Caenorhabditis elegans: one gene and its partners. The protein of the gene in region 3 purifies or fractionates together with the protein of the main gene of each other region. This does not show direct contact. Each region holds a gene or a part of one and is shown on either strand. Other genes may lie near its edges. The genes, in order: che-2, dyf-11 and osm-6.

Region 1 (3,757 bases), on a different chromosome or scaffold from region 3:
GAAAAACATCTTGTAATAATATTTGCAATGGCAAAAGATAGTGTGAACTAGGCCCAATAATGTTTTGTAAGCCAGTTCTCAATGTTTTCTGTTAGAAGTGTCACACATGAATGAGTCTCGCCACGAAAACTGTAAAATGGTGCATTCGAATTTTTCAGAAATTCTGAAAACTCAACACTTACGGATTTTTCCAAAATTACAGAAATTCAAATATTACGAATTTTTCAAAAACTCCGAGAATTCATAATTTTCAAAAAAAAAACATTACTTAATTTTTTGAATGATTTTCTCTTTTTTTTTGGAAATTTTCTCAAGTTTTCGTGACGTTTTATTTCAAAATTTGCTCGTTTGGGTCTATTCGTTTAAAATTTCCAGATCCGTTACTCCTCCTATAAAAAGTAATGTGGGCCTGTCCAAACGTTTAAATTTTTTACAAACACCCATTGTGTGTTTAGGTTTTTCCTGTGTACCACTACAAATAAAGCACAAACTTTCAGTTATAATAATGGTCACCCGCAAGTTCATTCAAACTCGTGTTCAAGAAATCTTCAACAACCGAAACAAGTGTCGAGTACTCCATATGTACCGAAATGCCATTCAATGCTTCAACCTTTTTTTCTGCAGAGATTTTTTTGCGATTCTGCGCTACCAGGAAGACTTTTTCAAGTTTGAAAGACTCGAAAGCTTTCTCAGCTACGTCTATGATCCTTATGTCGATTCTTTGAGAGACGTCTCATCAAAAGCGTTTTTGGTGTAGGAGAATAGAATTTTCAATGGTTTCATGAAATTCGGTTTTTGAACATTTTCTTTATTTATGTAGTTAATTATTATTTCTTGTATCTAATTTTTTTGATGTTTTATTAAATCCACTTTAACAAATTTAGAAAACATTATTTTCGTGGTATAATCGGAAGTTTTTATTTTGATTCAAACTTGACACCCAGTCCAAATATTTAGACAAAAAACTTTCAAATGTCCTAAATTTTATCAAACAGCTAGAACACGCATTTTTTTCACCAACAAGCATTATTTATGTCCAGATCAGGGGTGGGCGTCAATTTCCGTTTGGCAATTTTTTTGCGGCAAATCACCAAATTGCCGGTTTGCTGATTTGCCGGATGTTTTTAATTCCGGCAACTTGCCAGTTTGCCGACTTGCCGTGAAATTTCATTTTCGGCAACATGCCGATTTGCCAATTTGGCGGAAATTTTTATTTTCGGCAGACTGCTGATTTGCCGGAAATGTCTAGGGGGATTTTTTTATAAGACACTGTGCCTTTCTGTGAATTTTTTAACGTCTTTTCTCAATTTTTCATAAATTTTTTTACTTTTCAAAATAGATGTGGAAACATTTATAGGATGCCTACAATGTTGTCGATTAAAATTGAAATTCCGAAATTCCAAAAAAAAAAAAGTGCAAAACCGCAATTTGCCGGAAATTTCAATTCTCGAAGTTTGACGATTTGCTGATTTACCGGAAAAATTGTTTGCCGCCCACCCTTGGTCCAGATGAAAAGTGCAATTTCTAATTGACTCTGTCAACATTGTACAGAATAAACAGATTATTTCAAAGATTGCATTCACATTTAGGTATACATTTTTAACTGCATCTAGCTCTCAACCTTCAGAAATAAACAGGATTTGCTCCCCAATAATGATCCGATGATCAATAGGCATTACGAGCAGTAGCTCGAACAATGTACACCAAGTTATTTTTCAAGTACTACAGAATTTCGGGTCTTAAGCGGAACCGAGTAATCGTAGAAATCTCCCGAACAGTGGCGTATGCCTAGTACCGTCAAATGTAATTTAGATAAAAAGCAACAAAAAAATTCTCAGTTTTGTCTTCCATGTCTGTTTCAATTTTTTCTTTATTGAAATTTTATTTAAACAGACAAAAATTTGAATCTCCCTCATCTCACCAGATTCTTTGTTGATGTACACCTGCGGTGGTACTCTACTATTAGTTCCTTCTCCTCCCGTCTTGCCGCAGCTCTCTGAATTGCTGCCAGCTGGTTGTCATGGTGACTGCTCGCGCATGGCTCAGCTAGTGTTTGCAATACGTTTTTGGTTTTTCGTTAATGAACCCTCAGAGATTTGGGCTAATCAATTATTTTCTACAATTCAGGCTTTCAACTTTGCAGAATGAAATTAAAACTATCGGCGTCTCGGAAAACACGCCACACAGAAATGGTTTGTGGGGTGGGATGGATAGGCACCGAGGCCATATTGTCGGCAGCCGATGATCATGTTTTTCTGCTAACAAATACCGCCACAAATGAATCTCAACAAATTTTGAATATGCCGGAGTGAGTTTTTTTTTCATCATTGCGAGGCGAAATGCGACTACTCTAAATTAAAGGTGGGGTACCGAAATCTAGGAAATATTTTTAATTGATTCCAAATTTGCCCCTGGTTCACAATATTTAACTAGGGACTCTTTTTTGGTGACAAAAGAGTTATGGGACGAATTATATATTTTCTGAAAGCTAATACAATGCTCATATCGAATTCAAAATAAAACCTTGCCCAAATTGATGCTAAGACAAATGTTGTCCTCCGAATGCGTATTTAGGTTAAAATGTCATTGTTTTTGAAGCTTCATATCTCGATGGACTTCAAAGGTACAAAAAAATCAATTGACAAAATGTTAAGAATAACACAAAAATTCCATTTGATATGTTGCGTACTCCTGTAGTTATAAGCATTTAAAATATTAAAATTTAGCTTAAAATTTCATCGTCTCATATTTCGAAAGGAAATGGAAAAATTAAGTGTTCATATTAATAAACAAGGAAAAAATATATGGAGAAAATCATATAAGGCAAACGCGCTCAGAGGATTATTTATTTCTGTGCCTATTTGAAAAAGAAACCGGGGCACACATGAAATGTGTGATTTAAAGCTCAAATATAAAATCAGGGATTTTTTTTTGAATTTTTCACATTGATATTTGGAACCATAGGCAAATTTGGAGTCATTTAAAAATATTTCCCAGATTTCCGTACCCCACCTTTAAGTATGTACATACATATGTATATATTTTAATTTTTATAACAAAAAATCTAATTTACTTTTAATTACAATAAAATGATTACGATTTCATATCAACTGACTAAATTTGACCGATTTTCTCAGCTGCAATTAATTAGCTCAATGCAATAGAATGTTGCAGCTTTTGTGGTCTGACAATTAGAACTGCAGCAAAAACAAAAACTTCAATCAAAGAATTTTAAAAAATCAGAATTTTATATTCCAGAACTTTCTTCCCCACGAGTCTTCATATTTTTCCACGTTCCCAAACTAAAGGTGGTCAAAATGATGTGTTTGCAGTTTCAACTTCTGATGGTAAGTTTTTCTTTTGTATTTTTTTTTCATTCTTAACGAAAATGTATACGTATGGGTTTTGTTTCAAACCCATAAACACCGAAAATGAATTTCAGGAAAGATAAACATACTTTCGCGAAACGGAAAAGTTGAAAACATGGTAGATGCTCACAACGGAGCAGCTCTCTGTGCTCGATGGAATTCTGATGGGACTGGATTGTTGTCAAGTGGGTTCAATACTAAAATTTCAAAAAAGTATATAAAGAAAGTCAGTTGCAGGCGGAGAAGATGGGTTTGTGAAAATGTGGTCGCGGAGTGGAATGCTGCGTTCAGTGCTGGCTCAATTTGCAACAGCCGTTTACTGTGTGGCATGGGACTCTACGTCTTCCAATGTTTTGTACTGTAACGCTGACCATTGTTATATCAAATCG
Region 2 (3,757 bases), on a different chromosome or scaffold from region 3:
GAGTTCGACTACCTAAAGTGGTATCAAAATTGAATTAATAAACTGATTAACAATGTTATTACCACTTGTGGCGTTGAGTCAACAGTCGCAATTTGTTTCTTTTTCAGTTTTGGAGGCGCTGGCCTTGAAGCCGCGGTTCCGGGTCTTCCCATTGATGTCATAGGTCTACCACCTCCAGCACCAGTCATTGGTCTGGAATTTTCTATGTCAAAAGCTGATTAAACTGTGTGTATCATCATCTCAATCTCAGTGTAAATTTCACTTTGACAACTTATTCTAGAATTTGAAAAAATGTTGGTCAAAGAAGGAGTAAACCAACAATGTTGAAGCCAAAAATTTGCCGGATAATTCAATTTCAGAAAATTATTTAAGTGTGCACTACATTTTTTAAAATGAACTGAAGATAAACCCAATCCGTAAGAGGTTACCTTATCAACGGGGGTCTATCTTCGGGCTTGATCATTCTCGGGCTCTCACCCATCCCACTATCATCAGTTTTCAAGGGTGACGTCACTGGCTGTTGGATCAGTAGTGATTGAGCTGACAAATCAGTTTCCATATTTGATATAACAGTTGGTTCAGAAATCTCATGATCGTCATAACCCTCATCTCCATTCTCATTGTTCGGAGTATCCGGTGCATCTCCATTCACAGCAATCATTGAGTCTTGTCGTTTAAAATGCCGTTCACTCGGGTCTTTTTTGCTCTTTTTGGGTTTTTCGTCTGTTGTGCTCTTTTCCTTCTTTTTCTCCTTGCTGGACTTTTCGCTTGACTTTTCGCTAGACCTGTCACTAGACTTATGCCGTTCTTTTGAACTCGAAGACTTTTTCTTCTTCTCTTTCTCTTCTGCAGATTTTTTCTTCTCCGATTTTTCCTTCTCTTCATGCGTTTCCTTAAAATGATAAAACTGAGTTTATGGGGAAACAAATATTTAAAAGTGCACTCTACCTTCTTACTGCTACGTTTTTTAGTAGTTGACTTCTCTTCTTCATCTCCCTTTTTGTCCTCTTTCTTTACTTTTTTCTTCTTTTTCTCCTCTCCGGTACCATTCCTTGAATTGAAACTCGTAGCATTTGTTCCCAACATTTGCAGCATCTGAATAAATGTAAAAGGTAAAAAAAGCACTAAGAACTGAGACGAGCGAAAGCAATGGCTAACTTGGTGTAGCACTGACCAATCTGGTAATGCACTGACCAAGTTGAAAACGGCTTAAATACTTTATCTTACTATTAAGCATATTTTTATCACAAAAAATCAGAAAATTTAAATAGAAAAAATGATTAGGGCACTAATTTAGTTTGATATAATTTACGGAAGAAATCGAATTTTTTTTTTAAGTTAAAAAAAAATTTCTGATTGACCAGATTTTTTAAAATTTGATTGAAGCGACTTCACATCGAATTGTAAATTCTGTTTAAAATTCTGCGCCTTCTTTTTTCATTACAGATATTTCTTGTTAATAGAATGTAAACTCACTTTGTTGGTTTCTTCCGCGTCCTTCCCCGATATTATTTTGGCGGCTTTGACGTTTTTGAGACTTCCGTCATCTAGAATCTTGATCAGCTTGTCAAGAAAGGCAGTTTTGGTGTTTTTGTCGTTGCCAGCGGACTTTATTTCATCGTCGGTGAAGTCAGTCTGTTAAAATGAAAATTTAGCGAAAATTTATGCGCTGACCAAGTTGGCACAGCACTGAGTAACTTGGCACAGCACTGACCAAAAACTTCGCATCACTGACAAACGAAAACTTTAAAACTAAAGTTGGGCACTGGTTTTTTCTCTTTTTTTCTCATACCACATTACATTTCTTAAAATCTACATTTTCGCGCATAATTTTTTATTATGAATAAAATTTTCAAATACCCACCTTCAAATACCCCGTAGACTTTATCACATTGCTAACTATATCAACAATAAATTTGAATGGTGGTCGTGAAAGCAGTTGATCAGTTAGTTGTGGTTTTTGAATTACTTTCTCAAGAATTTCCCGAGTTTCCTCAACGCTCATCGCACTTTTACTGCAAAAATCTCATTACAAGTTGCGAAAAACATGAAATACATGAAAAACAATATTAAGGTGAAAAATGCTGACAAAAAAGAGGAATGAAACAGCGGTAATACACGCAAGAGAGAGAGAGCACGCTAATATCAGGTGGCGCTGTGTGGCGAGTTGTTGAGGCAGGGGGCACGTTGTCATGGAGACCACCTTACGCGCAAAGAGTGCGTGAGACGATGAGAGCAGCAGAATAATGTGTCTTAGTTGAGGTATTTTGTGACTGATTACAATTCTTTAATTTTCGCACAATATATTGTATTTTTTTCTGATTATATAATACGTCAGAAAAATGGGTGAAAACAAAGAAGAAAGTAGACTGGAATGTTATAAATGGTGGTCAAATTGCGACCAGTACAAGAAATCGTGGAAAATTTTGTTTTTAGCAGATTTACATATATTATGAAAATCACATCGAAACTTTTAGGAAAACAATCTTCATCTAACAATATAATTTTTTCATTGACTCGTTCTTAGCTCTATAAAAACAAAGTAGAAGCTTCTCATGTAGATCAAAAATTATGATTTAATGTTCAGAGGTTTCCCGCGATTGTGGAAATCAAATAGAAATAATCCTTTATTTAAATATACACTGTTTTTATTTGATAAAAACATAAACAAATTGTTTATAAGCCGAATGCTAACATTTATTGTAGAGATATGTTTAAATTTATAATTTCCTGTTTAATATTGAGGTACTTATAACTTTCGTTTAAAAAAAAACATAAGTTCCAAAATCTAGAATAGTAGGCAAAAACGTGAAATAGGCTATATGAACGAAACGTAAAAAATGTCATTTGTTTAAGGCAGCTGAAATTGAATATGACGTCATTTGTAGTAGGCGTTAGAAAAATATATAGTTACAAGTATACTAGACTACTTATTTAAAAAAAAACAAACTAATTTGGTCAATAATTCTAATTTTTATTTATCTTTTTATATGGACAAACATAATAATACAATCCATTTTTTTTTCTACTTTCTTGTGGTTATGGGTATTTAGATTGTCCCATCTTAGGTTGACCTCTGGAAATTAGGGCGCCACATGGCTTTAATGCTTTGACGCCACGATGATTTTTTAAATGAAAATTGCACTATGTAAAAATTTGTGACGTCATATTTTATGAATTTTTGAATCCACGTATTGCCACGATTTCAGAGACCAACAAAAAAAGGGAACACGCTAATTACTCGTGTGTGCTACGTTGTGGTCTACTTTTCAGGATTATTGGATTTTATTGAATAGTACATTTCAGCACGTTTCAAAAATTGAAGAAAAAAACCGAGAAAAGTCCGTTTTCAGTAATGAAAATTCAATTAAAAAATGAAATTTGAATCGCCATGAATTTTTAGAAAAATTTCCAGAAGGTCCATTATTTTTTAGAAAGAGGTTCATTTTTGAAAAATATTTGAAAACTTTCTGTATATAGAAAACTATCAACAAAATATAAAGAAATCAATCACAATAAGCATATATATGTACAAAAAACAATAAGATTGAATTTCCGCAAAACATCATTCGCGCGCGAAACTAACTCAAATTCGGGTATGTACATTCAGCCATAATTGTCAATGTGAACGGGGGTTTCCCGTTTTTCTTATATTATATTTCCCAGCTTCAGCACCTGAAATAAATTGTTTGATATTTTCTTCGTTGAAGAGACTTCATATTTGAAATTACATATTGAATATCCAAAATCTTCGGAA
Region 3 (3,757 bases):
GTACTTTATTCGTAAATAATTTGATCGTGTCGAGACCAGCTACCGTATTTTCAGGAAAACATCGCAAAGTTGGTGATTGGGTAAAACCGTGTTTCCATTTTCGAAAGCATGATTCTTGAATCTTTTTCTTAGTAATAACAAACATATTTCTGTAGTCAGGGGAAAGTATTTAGGGCACAGTACCTTATAGTCATTGGCCAATGTTTCAAATTAAAAGAATGCAACGAAGTATCCATAATCTTCATGAAATCCGAACTGATTGCCTGATCCAATTCTCCTTCGTACATACAAACCTGTTTGTTAGTTTGTCTAGAAAGTATAATTTTTTGAAGTCAAACCTTGATCTGCTGGGACATATGAATATGATCTGGAATATTTGTGTAATCATTAATTTCCGGCTCTGCAGCATCTATCGTGTTCAGTTCAAGACCATTGACCAGGAATTCCACAAATGTATCCTGAAATTGAAATTTTCCAATAAGGCGAGTTAAGAGGCGGGTGGGAGGCGCATCCTGCACGCCTCAACCAACCGGGGAAGTTTATTTCGAACCATATCAAAAATACACTTACAAAAATCTTTCCATTTTCTTCCTTATCGATGTATGTGTCATGAAACATCGAGACTGATCCAACCACACACACTCTACCTTTCTTTTTCTGAAAATAATATGAATTAATGTACCAATTTCAGAATATTCTAATACCATTTCATTGAGTTTTGTCTCATGAAAAGCGGCAACTGGGCGACTTGTTGGAAAACTTGTACTTCCAGAAGACAATACTACATTCGACATACGATTATTCACATCTAGAGTACATCCATATGGATAAATGAATGAAAGTGCTCTGAAATATTGAAATCACTTTTTTATTTTTGGAAAATCGGAAACCGAATTTTGTCCTAAATAAATAAAAAGCTAATAGTTCAACTCACTGTGAATTATGTTTTTGCTCAGTGCTCACATTCTTTTTTGCAGCCACTGCAATTGCTCGATTTATGACTCCATTTGCTACTAAAGCTTCTTTCGGATCAAAATATTTCAGGAATACAGTACGAATTACCGAATCTTGAATGTTGATGATTTTTGTAATTCATTTAATTTGATAAAGACATACCCTTATTCACAGTAATTCCATATTTTGCAATCATTTCATTTAATGATTGTCTCTCACCACCTTCACCAGAAAGGATCATCAATGAACCACCTTCTTCCACAAACTTCCATATTGCTTCAATCTTAAATTTTAATTTTTTGGGTGTTAAAATTAGGCTGAGACAATCAAATGAAATTTAATAAAATTTAAAATCCTAAACCTCTCCAGTTCCAAATGATGTCTTTGGTTGTGGAATGATAAGCATCCGAACATCTTCTAATCCATTTAAGTTAATTGGTTCTGTGTTTCTGAATTTAAAAATTATTATCTATCTGCGAGAGAAATTCAAATTTGGCAAAAATTACGGTAGCAGGTCTCGACGCGAGCAAAACAATTCCGCGCAAAGGATTGCTCGACTTCGAGGAGTACTGTAGTTTCCAATATTTTGTTTTTTTCGTTTTATTTTTTATTTTTTAAATAGCAGCTTAATTTGTTCAGTATAATTTGAATATTTATTCCAAAGAATTCAAAATAAGAAAATGAGAAACAAAAATACAAGAAACCTGCTTCTTCGCAGGATCCGATTTTAATTCGTTTCGAGACCGGGTATCGTATTCTTTCATCATAAATCGTAAATCTTTCAACTATGTATTTAATGTATAAAATGTTAAATATTCCAAAAAAGCTCACATTTCAACAGTAAGAACACTTTTTAAATGTCTTGCCACACCACGAAAACCACTAATCAAACTAATTTGTTGCTGTTTTGATTGATCAATCAGAACTTTTCTCCCAATACTCCGGTTCTGGAAAATGGAAATAATAAAATGCGAAAACTAAAATCTAATACTTACAGTCATCTTTTCGTCTGAAAATGGAGGCATAGATGTATACTAATGAAGGTAATAGCTTGAAAGAGATATAAGCCCCAAGAGAGGGAGCAGACAATGTGAGCGAGAAGCAATGAGTGGTTACTATGGTAACATGTGGATACAAATCTTGGAAGGGTCTCCTGGGAAAGGAACTACTAGAGAAATATATAGTTAACTTTGTTTTCTGAAATTTAATGAATTCCGTAATAGACTCCTAATTATTAAAAATGCAATTTCATTTTTGAAGTTTGATGAAAGATGTAATTAATTTTATAACAATTTATTTGGAACGAAAAAAATTTTACATGAAAACCGGAAGTGTGAAATCGTTGTTTCATAATTACATCGTCTTATACAAGATTATAGTTAATAAATAAATACCCATGAAATGTAATGAAAACTGAAAATATAACTACTACATATAAGCAATTATAAAATTAAAATGATACAAGAATACTGGAAATATCGTTTGGTTGGAGTCGGAATTGTTCAGCCTTGTTTCCTTCATAAAGATTGGTTAGTGACGTTTTTTTCGCAGACTTCAGTGTCGAGATCAATTTGAGTGGCTCAATTTCTAATCCAGTAGCTAAGCATGACGTGTCTGGGAGGGTAAGCCTGGATCTACAGTCTGGAACAACTCTATGCATCACCATCGCTGCTTTCTTCTCAGCTGCCGTAGATCTTTCGTTGGCTTCGTAAGTTGTCGGCGATGCCAGTGTTCTGAAAATGATTAAAGATGAGGGTTACTGTAGATTTCAGATTTTTTAACACCTAAATGTCACTAGATGCAGGTCACAGTTCAGCTCTTGTTCCACATTTTTCGAAGAAATAGATTTTGGTGTTGCATCTCCAATCATTTTGACAAGAGGATAATGAAGAGACCACGTAGCGAGATGACCAACATGTGAATGGAATCCAACTCGTTCTTCCTTCTTATTACCACTCGATGAAGACATCGGCTCAATAACAATACGGAAATGTGCAACTGTTCGTTTGTTGTCTCTAACTCCTTGCTGAAGACCTCTGTTGTCATCTGAACTAAGTCGTCGATCAAGCATTATTTCAATTTGTCCCGACGAGAGACTGCTAACTCCGAGAGCCTGTGCCGAATGAATTGACATTCTGGTAGTATCGTCTTCAATGTAAACACCAGCAGACATGGGATAGAAATTGGCCTGTGTTGGTAATTTAGTTTGTCGTCTCCTTTTTATCATTTGCATTCCATTGAGATCAGTGAAAAACTCATCACCACTATTTACTGAAGAACTGAATCTCAGTGCCAACTCGAAATTCTCCTTGGAACGTACATCAACTTCATTATCCAAATCAATCCATGGAAGCCCTTGATAAAGTGTGTACGTTTGCAATATTTTCAGATCATTGTTTGGAGTTGCAAACACTTTTTGAACAACTTCTCCTTTTACCAATATCCAATCACTTGATTGTTTTTTGAGTTCTCTAGCTTCTCCATCGGGAAGGAACAGGTATGCGCCAGCCGGGTTGTCTTCATTTCCATTTGCGACTGAAAGAAAAACATTTTTAAAGCGAACAAAAGATTTGGAGGAAAAGCCTAGATTTTGAAGGGATGAGAAGTGAGAGAGTGAAGAGGAGTGAAGAACGGATGCATCTCTTGACCCAAATCGCCTTATTTCAATCACTTGTTTATCATGTCAACGGCTGATTTGTATCATTTCGCGCTTCTACGCAGGAATGGTGATGTTCTATGCAGCTGCAGTTATTCTAGCTGTATCCGCAGTTTCAGGTGAGTTACTGAAATATTTTGTTTCATA

The links.
Region 1: the proteins of osm-6 (region 3) and che-2 purify together in Caenorhabditis elegans (affinity purification with mass spectrometry, with the first as the bait; one study listed by BioGRID). This does not show direct contact.
Region 2: the proteins of osm-6 (region 3) and dyf-11 purify together in Caenorhabditis elegans (affinity purification with mass spectrometry, with the first as the bait; one study listed by BioGRID). This does not show direct contact.

What each region holds. Positions count from the first base shown.
Region 1 is NC_003284.9:479,307-483,063, forward strand, and holds the start of che-2 (WD_REPEATS_REGION domain-containing protein), read left to right. Parts: upstream 1-2,143; 5' UTR 2,144-2,144; coding exon 2,145-2,308; intron 2,309-3,258; coding exon 3,259-3,347; intron 3,348-3,442; coding exon 3,443-3,553; intron 3,554-3,605; coding exon 3,606-3,757.
Region 2 is NC_003284.9:762,017-765,773, reverse strand, and holds the start of dyf-11 (TRAF3-interacting protein 1), read right to left. Parts: upstream 2,023-3,757; 5' UTR 2,006-2,022; coding exon 1,865-2,005; intron 1,636-1,864; coding exon 1,477-1,635; intron 1,096-1,476; coding exon 949-1,095; intron 893-948; coding exon 429-892; intron 193-428; coding exon 63-192; intron 13-62; coding exon 1-12.
Region 3 is NC_003283.11:11,925,428-11,929,184, forward strand, and holds the start of osm-6 (Intraflagellar transport protein 52 C-terminal domain-containing protein), read right to left. Parts: upstream 2,020-3,757; 5' UTR 1,980-2,019; coding exon 1,950-1,979; intron 1,902-1,949; coding exon 1,786-1,901; intron 1,404-1,785; coding exon 1,316-1,403; intron 1,238-1,315; coding exon 1,117-1,237; intron 1,068-1,116; coding exon 935-1,067; intron 847-934; coding exon 705-846; intron 658-704; coding exon 571-657; intron 459-570; coding exon 339-458; intron 294-338; coding exon 184-293; intron 1-183. Other genes in the region: aman-2 (Alpha-mannosidase), read right to left, coding at 2,405-2,687, 2,739-3,489; F58H1.2 (uncharacterized protein), read left to right, coding at 3,678-3,729.